Tribolium castaneum: one gene and its partners. The protein of the gene in region 2 purifies or fractionates together with the protein of the main gene of each other region. This does not show direct contact. Links are inferred from orthologs where the notes say so. Each region holds a gene or a part of one and is shown on either strand. Other genes may lie near its edges.

Region 1 (4,124 bases), on a different chromosome or scaffold from region 2:
GTATTGAATAACCGACTTTATCGGTGTGAATATTAATTATAAAAATGTTTGATTCGTCATAGAGAAATTATGAATGTTTTTGGCAAAAGTCCTGGCAAACATTTTTAATGTTGTTGACACTGTTTATTTTCAACTCGGAATTCTATTTTAACATTTTAGTGTTATTTCAAGCGATTCATAAACCAAACCCCAAAAAAATCGTTAAAAAATTTATTTCTTATCAAGGTAAATAATACACATTACAATAAACTAAGTGCTAACACCATCAAACATGCTAACAGCCAATAGCAAATTCCTCCTCGTAAAGTGAAGGCTGATCAATGGCGAGCTCTTCGTCGCAAAACTCCTCAATAAATAATCATCCCCGATCCTCACATCGGGATTATGCGACACATTTACTTCCTCCGAGCTGATTTCCTCAGTCAGTTTGGTAAAATCCCAAACTTTGAGCAAACAGTCCAACCCTCCTGAAACTAGAATATTCCCGCATCTGCTGAAAGCAAGTGCATGGATGGGCTTCTCATGCCCGGTGAGTTCTGCAACCAAGTGTCCATGGGACAAGTCCCAAACCAACACTTTACAATCCACCCCCGCGGAAGCCAAAAACCGCCCACAAACACTGAACGCCAAAGACATTATGGGCGATTTATGCCCAGTCATAAGTCGGACATGATTTCCCGTCGTACAATCCCACAAACAGACGCGGCGGTCGCTGGAACCGGTCGCAACGTAATTGGAATTTGGGTGAAACTGGACGCACTACAATTAATAATTTCTGTAAAAAAATATTAAAAAAAAATTGATAATTTTTACATCGACGTCGGAGAAATGACCGGCAAATAATCGCAACGGTTGGTAATGGTCGGTGGCCCAAAGTCGCGCAGTGCGGTCGTACGACGCCGAAGCGAAGTAATAGCCCAAGGGAGAGAATTTGACGTCCCAAACGGGGAACATGTGTCCTTTGTAGACCACCAGACAAGTCCATATTTGCAACGACCATAATCTTATTGTTGTGTCTTCCGAACAACTGATAAGGAGAGTCTTGTCTGGGGAAAATGATACCGAGTAAACAGGCCCTGAATGGCCGTAAAGCGATCTGGAAGTCTCACCGGACCTTTCATCCATCATTCTCACCTGCATGTTGAAAACATGTAAGTTTTTGGAACCTGGCCAAGATGACAGATAAGTTGCTATCTTGGCAGATTTCTTTAAGTACACTGTTTAAATGAATAAAAATGATACACCTTCCAGTCATTTATTTTGCGATTTTAAACATGTTGACGGTTTCCACACGGCAACGACCTATTTTTATCGCTATTTATTCAAGTAGTCGATTAATTTAAGTCGGTGTCTACTTTATCGACTTGATGGGGGCGAAAACTAAAATCTCAACTTAACTTTGAATATATTTAATGTTGTATTAAAAAAATGAGTGATTACTTTTGTAGTAATAATAAAAGTCTTTTCTGAACAAAAAATTGTAATCGAAATTACTGATTTAGTTTTACTTATCGTTTAATTTTGATTGATTATATATTTTTTCATGTACTTTATCGATTTCATTATTAAAAAAAAATGTAACATTACCACGACATCCTCTACGTCAACATTGACATCCTCCAGCTGCTCCCCACTTTTCATAGCCTTCAGTTTTTGAGGCACAAGTGTCCAGACTTTAACAATTGAATCGCTGAAACCCACCGCCAGCATACTCGAATCTTCGGTGATTTCAGCACAATTAACCCTAAAAAACCCCCGATAAAGAAAATATTTTCACTGAATAAACTCAACTAACGTGTGATTGGCGTTAAGTAAGGTGTAACAACAAACTGAAGGGAGGTAATCCGGGCCTAACGTAACTCTCTTTGAGGCCTCTCTGTACGCCTTCACTTTTTCGTACTTATCGTGGTCTCTCATGTCCGGGACTGGAATTCTATCAGGCGGTGGAGCGTTTGGGTCATTTTTTGTTTTTTTCGAGAAAAGTGGGTCTTTTTTGGCTTTTTTCTTCTTAGGTTTGTCCGGATTGTCCTGTTCGCCGCCTTCGTCCTCGTCTTCGACTGGCGCTGCTAGTGCCTGAATGTCGGGGGCTTTGGGGATGCCGTAATAGACTTTGGTTTTATTATCTGGAATTTTGATGTGTTTATTGTAATTATGATAACGAAAATGAACCTTGTCGTTTTGCCTCTCCCCCAACGGCACCTGACGTGGCATCAATCTGGCTTTTGTTCCTCGCTACGCCTTCGTACATATCAAAGTAGAGATGTTCCTGGATGATGTTCAGCAAAACTGACGCTTTTTTGTCGTTTAAGTGACGTTTTAAAAGTGACAAAGTGTCACGCGACATTCGAATAATAAACTGGTTTGATTTGAAGGTGTCTGTCAATTCGTTCCCGTTCATATGGTCCCGTTTTGTGACCAAAGCCAACTTCCTGAGATCCTCCTGATAGTACGAGTCTTGTTCGGGGCCAAATTTTTTCATTAAGTTTATCGCTTTCTCCGTATGTCCATTATAAACCAATTCGAGGTACATGTGGACCAAAACTGGGTATAAAATCATGCCTAATTCGTGTTTGTAAATGTCAAGGGAGCCCTCAACAAAACGCTTTAACTCCATGTAAGAGTCCTCATAGGTTTCTGGATCTCCGTCACTCTTGTACCCCGTCAGAACGCTACTAACGTCTGAATTTTGTTGCAAAGGGCCATCAGCTATGTTATTACCGAGATTGGCCTCCTTTCGTAGCAGCTCCTCAGTGCCCTAATGAAAAATGTTACGTTGTGCTTACTCGCCATAAGCTCACCTTTAAATTGTATTTTTTCAAAATTTGCAGAACGGCTGCAAGTTGAGATTTTTCCATTTCTTCGGCGCTCATTTATAAACTCGTAAAATAATAAATACAACACAAACTGACGTTTCCCTAACCACACTTTAATGCAAATGACAACAATCAATAACGCAAAATTTCCCTAAAGCCTGCCATTCAACGTCGATTTATAAAAAATCTAGGCTTATTTCGCAACAATCCGATTTTCTCTTCATTCAGAGAGCGCAGTATGAGAGTTGTAACTCCTGGCTATATTTTTTAAAACTCTGAGAGTCGTTTTTGGACAATTTTTAATTGGTTGAATTGTGTTGGCACCATTTTTTTCTTAACCGCCACCCGCCATATTTCCAGCGCCATTAAAAGGATCTTTTCGGCGGTGTTTTGTGGTGGCTTTTTAAGAGCCAGAGTTGAAAGTAAGTAAATAACGGCTCCAATCGCATTATTATCCACTACCTTAACTAGTCAGCATTTTAGTAACGAAGTTGAATGCAAGCAATACTTATTGTTCCAGAAGTACGCAGTCAGCATCGCTTTACCGGTTATTCGCAAACAAAACTGCAGAAATGGGCAAAAAGAAGGTAGAAGACAGCGAGAGCGAGGAGGAATATTCAGTTGAGAAAATTATCGACCGGCGGGTCGTAAACGGAAAGGTCGAATATTTTCTCAAGTGGAAAGGTTATAGCGAAGACGATAATACTTGGGAACCCGAAGACAATCTCGATTGTCCCGATCTCATAGCGGAATTTGAAAAGTCGCGCAAAGCCAAGGCGAAGAGGTCTTCCACCACGAAAAGTGCGGACGAGGATAGTGACAAAAAAAAGGTGGGTTTATTGGATAAGCCAAGCAAAAACCAGCCCACTTCGACCCGAAATCTATTTAATTGTGTATCCCTAGAAAGAGAAAAAATCCAAGGACGGTGAAGAGAAGTCTGAAAAGAAATCAAAAGGCAGGCCCAAGAAGCATGCGGTTGAAACGGAGGACTCCGACGGCGAGCCCAAGTCGAAGAAAGCTCGCCGTCGTTCAGATTCCACGGACGAGAAAGAGAATTCAAAAAAAGACGCAGATTCCGACGACGAAAATGGTAAAAACAAGTCTGACTCATCTGACGACGAGGATAAGTCCAAGAAAAAGAAGAAATCAGAAGGCGATGACGACGAAAAATCCAAGAAAAAGCGAAAGTCTGAGTCGAAATCTGAAAAGGGGAAGGATAGTTCATCCAAGAGTAAATCAAAAGTCGGCTTTGAACGGGGCTACCAAGCCGAGAAAATCATAGGAGCATCAGACACCACAGGACAGCTGATG
Region 2 (4,154 bases):
GTTACGGCTCTGGCCTACGGCCCCCAAGGTAATCTTCTCTATGGGCACAGTGACTGTGGCGAAGTCACTGTGTGGGACGTGAGCATGAGACGGGTCTTGCACAAGTTTATGGACGAGGGCTGTCTGCAAGGCACCACTTTGGCGGTTTCGCCCACTAATCAATTTCTGGCGGCTGGTTCTGCACAAGGAGTTGTTAATTTGTACGACGTGGGGGATATTTTAATTAATAAAGTACCTAAACCTATAAAGACCATTATGAATTTGACTACGAGCGTGACCGACTTGAAATTCAACGCTACATCGGAGATTTTGGCATTGTCGTCTGCCGAAATACCGAATTCCGTCAAATTGCTCCATGTCGGGTCTGGGACTGTTTTTAGCAACTTCCCGACGTTCGAGACCAAGTTGGGACACGTAAATGCGATCAATTTCTCGCCAAATAGTGGATATGTTGCCTTTGGGAATAGGAAATCGACCGTTTCTTTGTATACCTTGAAGCACTACAAAAGTTATTAATCAAACAACACATGTTAGATACGGTAAATGACCTGTTCCACCTGTTGTAACATTTATGCAAGCTTTATAAATTATAACAGGGCTATTGCTAAAATAATGTGTCAGTTTTAATACCGAAGAGTGGCATCTCTCCTCAAGTGGTTAATTTTGATCAATTTTTACGTTCTGTATGCTTTTTTATTTTTTACTACCGATGTCATGTTTTAGTACCTGTAAATAAAATCGTTTAAGTCCTAAGAATTTTATTGTTTTATTTGTAATATGTGAATTTTTTTTTCTTCCAACAGTTGCCGAATGAACCGCTTTGTACTCAATTGTACCTACGTTTAATTTATTGATTGCAGGCCATTATAGTTTACACCGGAATCGATTAAATAACCCCTTGCCTACACATTATCAACCACACAAGCCTCCTGAAATCAAATTGATAGGGGTACTATTACCTGCTGTTATCTAGAAGTGCTAGATTTTTATTAAAAATTTGCGTTACAGTTCTAAATACCACCTATAATTAAAAAGATTTGATGCAAAAGGAGGATAAGGGAGATGATAAAAAAAAAGTACCAAACAAAATGGAAATTATAGTAGGAGTAGAACGTGTTTATAAATCGAATACCTATTTTTTATCAATAAATCTGTTCTTAATATTAAATAGGCCATACCTATCGTATAAGAAAATATACTTATATTATTAATATAAGTTTTTTATTGGTAATTTTGTTCAAAATTTGAAAAAAACAGCGGGAATCTGACCAGAGTGTTTTGTTTTGTGATGATAAAACAGCAGTATGGTGTTGCAAGGTTGTTGTAGGTCATGAGATTTAGCAATAAACAATCTCTTAAGAAATATTGCTCAAGCAACAAAAAACAGCAAATGAGCTATGAAGTAAAGAAAGTTGCGTTGTGCCTCGTGCCAGAATTCGAGGTAAAATGAGAATTTAAGATGAGAAATGAGTGTTGTCCCCATGACGTAATACGTAAGCTGCGAGCTGCGTGGAAGGAATCGGGGCTATCAGCGGTCGTCGCAAAATGTCATCTTGTTAAATGTAAATTGGCGCAGAAACTTTCTAAAGAAATGTAAATTTGTGGATTTGGAAATGTGAAATGCAATGCGAAAATTCAAATTTGGCGGGTCGGGATGACGTGTCAGATGACTTAGCAAAACGTCGAGAGTGCGATCGACTCCGCGATGTAAACGAAACTGAAAAGCTGTGTCTGATGTCGCCGTGAAATCCGCCCCCGACGAAACCGTGCAACAACTCGGAGCAGCCGAAGATGAGGGCCATGTAAAGTGGTTAAAAGTGCGTCGATTCGGACTTTTGTTTCATATGCCTTTCTGCATTTGTGGCGTGAAGAGTCGACGGCGCAGCCGTTGGCGTGATCATGTTTATGTAGGGCGCATGCGCACATCAGTTTACAGTTGGGTCTCGGAAAATGGCGTCAGCTAAGTTTCTCGAGGAAGCACTGAGTACGGATGTGGACGAATCGGCCGTGAGTGCAATCGTGGGCTCGTTGGAGAACCAGCTGGTGACGTCGTCGACGACGGCGCCCGCGTCCGCGGCCCAGAACCACGTGAACAGTGCAATATCCAACGGCGGCACCGTCGGGCCCCCCAAGCACTCGACAGTGGCCAACGGCGACTCCATCTCGGACGCCAAGTCGGCCGACGCCGCCCCCGTCAAGATCGTCTACTCGCAGGCCATGGCGGGCGCCGGGACGCTGCTGCCCAACGCGAGGGTCGCGCTGCCGCCCAATGGGACGCTGCCCCAGGCCGCCCCCGGCAAGCAGCCCACGCTGGTCATCAAGACGTGCGGCGCCTCGGCCCCCGGACTCGTCACCGTGCCCATGAACGTGACCACCTCGGTCCCGCCAGCTAACAACGTAGGTAGTCCCAGTACACAGTCCCCAAACATCCTTTCCAACCTCCAGGTTGTCAATGTACGGCCTGGCGTTCCCGCTCAGCAGCAGAAAGGACAACCGGCACGTGTCGTGCTCAGTGCACCACAGATTGTCGGGGCCCGGCCAGGAGCTCCAGTAAGTCGGTGTACACTCAAAACAACAGTCGAATGGGAGGGTCTGCTAACTCCCAGTCTTAAGATGCTTGCTAACACCTATAACCCCTTATCGACATCTACTGAGCGTACATTAAAAAAAAAACAAAAAATTAAACAAATTTTCATTCTAGGACAAATTATGTTTTCAAGCCAGTACTTGGTGTACTGTTTATTATCATGTGACCATCAAAACAAACAACGTCCAACAAGTTTACAAACTATCTACCATAATAATTTCGTTGTGTTGTAGGTAGACAACTTAAGACACACTCAAAACAGTACAGTATTGGATTCTTGAAAATAAAGCCCAGTTTCCCCCAGGAAACCAACGTAAGGGCCCCGAATTAATGACACTGTTTTTTAAAATTTTACTTAGCAATGAATACAATTTAAGGAATTGTTAAAAAAATGACTTTAGATTTAAAAAAAAAATTAAATACGTTCCTGCAAAATTGTAACTTGCTCTTACTTAACTCAAGACTCTTTTAAGCGATGTAGATTTGACAGCTACAGCAAAGTAAGAAATTCTTTCGTACTTTCACCCTGTGTAGTCATAAAGACATGCTGTTTCAATAGGTAATAAAAAGTATTTAATGTTGGCTAAACTTTTACACATTTCTTCTCAGTTATAGTGACATTACCATTAATGGCGAATTTAGCGTCTTTCATACAGTAAACATAGATTTTTTTGTACAAAATTATTCAAAAATTATGCACTCCCAATTGAAATTTTGAACAAAACTAATGTAAAAATGAGACAAAATGATGACCTTGTTAAAACTGAAATTATTTGTTGCAATTTAGATTTTAACAGAGGATTCATTCCAGTGACCCTCATGTACCAATATTTTGTTTGATAACAATTAGAAGACTTTTTTTCTTAGAAACACTATTTTGTACACGCAAGTGAATTTTTAACTCCAGAATTGTAAACGGATAGTAATTATCAAACATCCTAAAATAAAATATAAGATGCAATAATAAGAGTTGGAGTAATTATTGAAAAGTGGAACGATTATAAAATTAGAAAATTTCATAATAATTATCTCTCCACAGGGACATAAACAGCATCACACATATAGGGAAAGGTGTTGATATCCCTACTTTGTGATTAAATACACGTTATGTTATGTAATTTTCATGCTCGTGTAATTTTTTTTTATTTAATTCTTATTTTTTTTAAAATGTTATAAAAAACGATGGCAGCGTGTTTAATGCAAATTGCTATCTATGCGAAAGAAAGTGACGTTGAATTAATGAGTGAATGGTTACTGATTTGTTTATTAAAAATGTTTTATTTCATTCATAAGGAACGAATTATTTTGAAAATAATTCGTTCCTTATTTGGAAATAAAAGTCGCAGAATCAGGATGTCATGTCAGTATTGGGATTAATTTTCATCCAAGCTAGGACTAACGCTTTCGGACCCCACAAACCCCCCCATTCTACTGCAAAATTTCATGTTTGAGGCTATTTCCATTGTACAGCTTCACAAAACAACAACCAACCACCTTACACAGATTGTTCACTCGAAACACGTACACGAAGCTGTACAACGAAAATGCCGAATCTCTTCTAGTTTTG
Region 3 (3,989 bases), on a different chromosome or scaffold from region 2:
TCTCGAGTCTGATTTTAAAAATTCAGGGTTGGATCGAAACACAAATAATTGGAAATGTGTTGATGATTTCAACTGGTTGAATGTTGAAAGACAATCTCCAAATTGGTCGTTGTTAGATGAAGGGAAACTTGTAAAAAATTGGGATAATTCATAACGTAGTAATAAAAATTCGTAGTTTATTATGTTTTTGGAGCCCCGTAAGCATCAGGCATGCGTTCAATTGTATACCTATGTTGTGCAACATACATGATGGGAACACCCGGAATTTTCCGAATTCTGCGTTTCAAATCCTTATCATTCGTCGCAACAATGTAACACTTGTGTTGGGTGACCCTCTGGACTAGGCAATCATCAGCGTACGTCCCTTTATGCATGCACTTAATCCTCTCAAACCTCGGATCCTTTATTATCCTCAACGCCACTTTATACTTCTGACCTAATTTCTCTAATTCGCCCAAAACACAATCCGTAATATACGGAATACACTTAGCATACAAGCAGTCCATCATATTCTGAATAATATCCAACTTGTTCTTGATCGAAAAATTAATAAAGTTCGTATCAACCAAAATGTGATATGGAGGCCCCAGTTGGGTGTTGTATTGGAAAAAGAGCGCCGAACTAACTTGGGGCACCTCACGCACTTTCATTTCGTGTGGATCTTCGGGTTTTTTCTTGCGAGGAGGGGCCCTCTGGCTGGCTTTTATGCGAGGGTCGCTGGGACTGATCATTGTTTTCATTTTTGCAAACCGCTTCTGGGCGATTTTTCGCGTCTTCTTCGCCTTACCCTAAAAAACATTTCTATACGCTGTGCAAACACCAAAGCGAACTTTTTACCATCTTTTATTTTAAAATAAACACATGTAGAAAAAGTCAGGTTAAATATGCGTTGCCAACATTACAACACTAAATAAACAATCAGGGAGAGGTGAATAAATTAAATCCAAAATAATTGTTTGTGTGAAAAAACTGTTCCACTGACTCGAAATTTTTAAAAGGCGACATTGTGAGCGTGAGCCGTGAGTGTTATTTTTAAATTTATGATGCGAATTTGAGTGAGGTTAAGGCGGGCGTTGCCAACATTCTGGTTGATTTGTCCCCAAAAATTATGCTAGGAGAATAATTTATTAATTTGCTTCCAAATCCGTTTTTCCAGTGAAAAACAGTATTTTCGTGACGAAAACTCTGAAAGAGAACAATCAAGGAATGTTATTTTGTGTTTGTATGGTCTGAGTTCAAGTTTTTAAAAATTATAACCGTTTATGCTAAATGTTGACTATGATTTTATTGTTCAGTTAATTAGTTCGTTAATTAAAAAAGTGTAAAGACAACAAGTACCAAAATGGATCAAATGTTGCCAAGCCCCGGTTTCAGCATTCCTAGCATAGGTAAGTCTCGATTTTTCCTTCACACTTCCTTAGTGAGGCTTTAGGAACCCCCTTGCACCAGCCCGAGGAAGATCAGATGATTTTGCCCAATGCTCTGCAGCAACAACAGCAGCAGCAACCTTCCACAACATCACAGTCCCAACAAGTCCCGCCTTTGGCCCCAATGGGAGCCCTAACACCAACTCTGGGGTTGGGCATGGGCATGTCCATGCCCCATACGAAATATGCGGGCTTCGCCCTCCCCATCACGAGTATCCAGTCACAAACACCAGTACGTAACTAAATTATTGAATAATTGGAACGTTTAATTAAAATTTTAGCAACACACTATGATGTCCCCTATGGTGAATTTGGGGGGCTCAAGTGGTGCAGCGAACACCCCGTCGATGGGCCCCGCGACGCCGTCGCCCCTGACACCGATGACCCCGCATTCGGCCGACCCCAACATTGTCCCCCAATTACAGTAACAGTCCAAACTTTAGTAAAATTAGTTTGAATATTTTTTGCAGAAATATTGTCTCCACAGTTAACCTCAGCTGCAAGTTAGACTTGAAAAAAATCGCCCTTCACGCACGTAACGCTGAGTACAACCCCAAACGTTTCGCTGCAGTTATAATGAGAATCAGGGAGCCCCGAACTACTGCTCTTATTTTCTCTTCGGGAAAAATGGTCTGCACGGGGGCTAAAAGCGAGGACGACTCCAGACTAGCAGCGAGGAAATATGCGAGAATTATCCAAAAGCTGGGCTTCCCCGCGAAATTTTTAGACTTCAAGATTCAAAATATGGTGGGAAGTTGCGACGTTAAATTTCCGATCAGATTGGAAGGACTTGTCCTCACGCACAGTTCCTTCAGTTCGTATGAACCCGAGTTATTCCCCGGTTTAATTTACAGAATGGTTAAGCCCAGAATTGTACTACTTATTTTTGTCTCGGGTAAAGTTGTCTTGACTGGCGCCAAAATCAGGCAGGAGATTTACGAAGCCTTTGATAATATTTATCCAATCCTGAAAAGCTTCAAAAAGCAATAATTGCTTCATGTGCTACGTTTAATTGTTGACTGTAAGTGGGCCTTTTATATTGTTAATAGACGAGAATCAAAAATTGCTTTTATTTTTCCTTTTGACAAGTCCAATCTAACCTCAAAATTAGTTTTTTTACATTATTAATACATTATGCTGCACTAGAATACAATCAATCGAAAGGGAATGGAAAATTCCGCTCAGTACTTAAGTTCAAAACTGATAAGTAAATAATTAATTAAAGTTGATTATGGTTTACGAAAATTCAAATTTTTGCCACATAACCTCAAATTTTTTGCCAAAAAGAAAAAACTCGCTCGTTTTTGTCTTAAATGAAGAACAATAAACTCTAAAAAAGTGGAAGAATATCAGAAGACGGTACAAATTCCACGCCTTGTAAATACTGGAACTGATAAAAAGCGATGTCAAATTCCAACATGTTCAAGTAATTATTTTAATCTCTACAGTTCGGCGTAAAATAACAACAATGCCCATTTTACCAGGTGAGGCCACACGCCAATAATTGCGTTACTAATCGTAATTTTATCAGATAAAGTGCGAAATTTGGTGAAGAATGTTAGAAGTATGTTCCTAAAATGGTCAGTGCAAAGACCGATTTTGTCCATGTCTTTGGTGGTGATTTTGGCCGTTATCCTGCTCCCCGTGGTCACAGCAGCCACCCTAATGCCCGTTGCGCTATTGCTCACTTACACGGGAATTTTGGCGTCACAGGGAATTTTTTACATAACTTACAACATATTTATCCAAGGAATGCTACTAGCTATGGTAATTGTAGCCTTATTCGTTGTTGGTTTTACAATTGCAACAAGCGCGAGTGTTTTCCATTCATATACAATATTTAAAACGGTTACCATAAAGAAAAAGCAATAAATTTAAGTTTTTATTCGTTTTTATGTGCCATTTTTTCCATTAATGCCCATAATTTTCGTACTACTTGTTCCTCGCCTATTTCACCATAATTGAAGACTTCATAGTTTGGAGGGTTCGTCCGTACCATATCTGTTAGTTTATAAGGAATAAAGTTGTTAAAATGAACGGCTTGGTTTTTTTTTTAGAAAGGATACAGCCTGTGTTAGGTCTTGTATAATCAAATTGTGTTGCAGTTAATAACTTATACAAATATAAGGAGAGCCTGAAATAAATTCATTAGAGACCAACGTAAGAGTCATTTAAATTTCATACTTTAGGCTCTTAAGATTTTGCAGCTTATGATTATAAGTTTCGCACCGTTTTGTTGTTTCCCGGAGTTTATTTTTCTTTGCACCAAATTCGGTAGTTAAATTTGAAAGTTCCTCTTCCAGTTTATTCTATTTTTTTTACAAAGTTATCGTACAAGTAAAATTATTTTTTATACTTACGATTTCAGACTTTTCTTTTTCCAAAAGTTGAGCATTGTTATCCACGATTTCAAAGGCCCTTTCTACTTTACAATCAATCAAAGATTTAACGTTTGCACATATATTAAACAAATACCCTTCTAAAAAGACATAACAGAGTACAAAAATAGATTTAAAAAGATTGCACGTACCTTCTTCCACATGAGGTGTTAACTCATCGAGT

The links.
Region 1: the proteins of Taf4 (region 2) and Taf5 purify together in Drosophila melanogaster (affinity purification with western blotting; 3 studies listed by BioGRID). This does not show direct contact. The link is inferred for Tribolium castaneum from reciprocal best matches to the Drosophila melanogaster genes Taf4 and Taf5.
Region 3: the proteins of Taf4 (region 2) and Tbp purify together in Drosophila melanogaster (affinity purification with western blotting; 7 studies listed by BioGRID). This does not show direct contact. The link is inferred for Tribolium castaneum from reciprocal best matches to the Drosophila melanogaster genes Taf4 and Tbp.

The regions. Positions count from the first base shown.
Region 1 is NC_087398.1:2,407,401-2,411,524, reverse strand, and holds Taf5 (cannonball), read right to left. Parts: upstream 2,920-4,124; 5' UTR 2,856-2,919; coding exon 2,799-2,855; intron 2,756-2,798; coding exon 2,170-2,755; intron 2,124-2,169; coding exon 1,796-2,123; intron 1,745-1,795; coding exon 1,588-1,744; intron 1,135-1,587; coding exon 814-1,134; intron 760-813; coding exon 250-759; 3' UTR 197-249; downstream 1-196. Other genes in the region: heterochromatin protein 1, read left to right, coding at 3,386-3,643, 3,717-4,124. UniProt on the Drosophila melanogaster protein: TFIID is a multimeric protein complex that plays a central role in mediating promoter responses to various activators and repressors. May play a role in helping to anchor Taf4 within the TFIID complex.
Region 2 is NC_087394.1:35,639,787-35,643,940, reverse strand, and holds the start of Taf4 (transcription initiation factor TFIID subunit 4), read left to right. Parts: upstream 1-1,299; 5' UTR 1,300-1,950; coding exon 1,951-2,550; intron 2,551-4,154. Other genes in the region: wcd (U3 small nucleolar RNA-associated protein 18 homolog), read left to right, coding at 1-516. UniProt on the Drosophila melanogaster protein: TFIID is a multimeric protein complex that plays a central role in mediating promoter responses to various activators and repressors.
Region 3 is NC_087402.1:9,986,884-9,990,872, forward strand, and holds Tbp (uncharacterized protein Tbp), read left to right. Parts: upstream 1-1,250; 5' UTR 1,251-1,342; coding exon 1,343-1,388; intron 1,389-1,432; coding exon 1,433-1,659; intron 1,660-1,708; coding exon 1,709-1,851; intron 1,852-1,897; coding exon 1,898-2,417; 3' UTR 2,418-2,911; intron 2,912-2,958; 3' UTR 2,959-3,464; downstream 3,465-3,989. Other genes in the region: Tbcc (tubulin-specific chaperone C), read left to right, coding at 1-154; Bka (rRNA-processing protein FCF1 homolog), read right to left, coding at 180-788, 838-840. UniProt on the Drosophila melanogaster protein: General transcription factor that functions at the core of the DNA-binding multiprotein factor TFIID.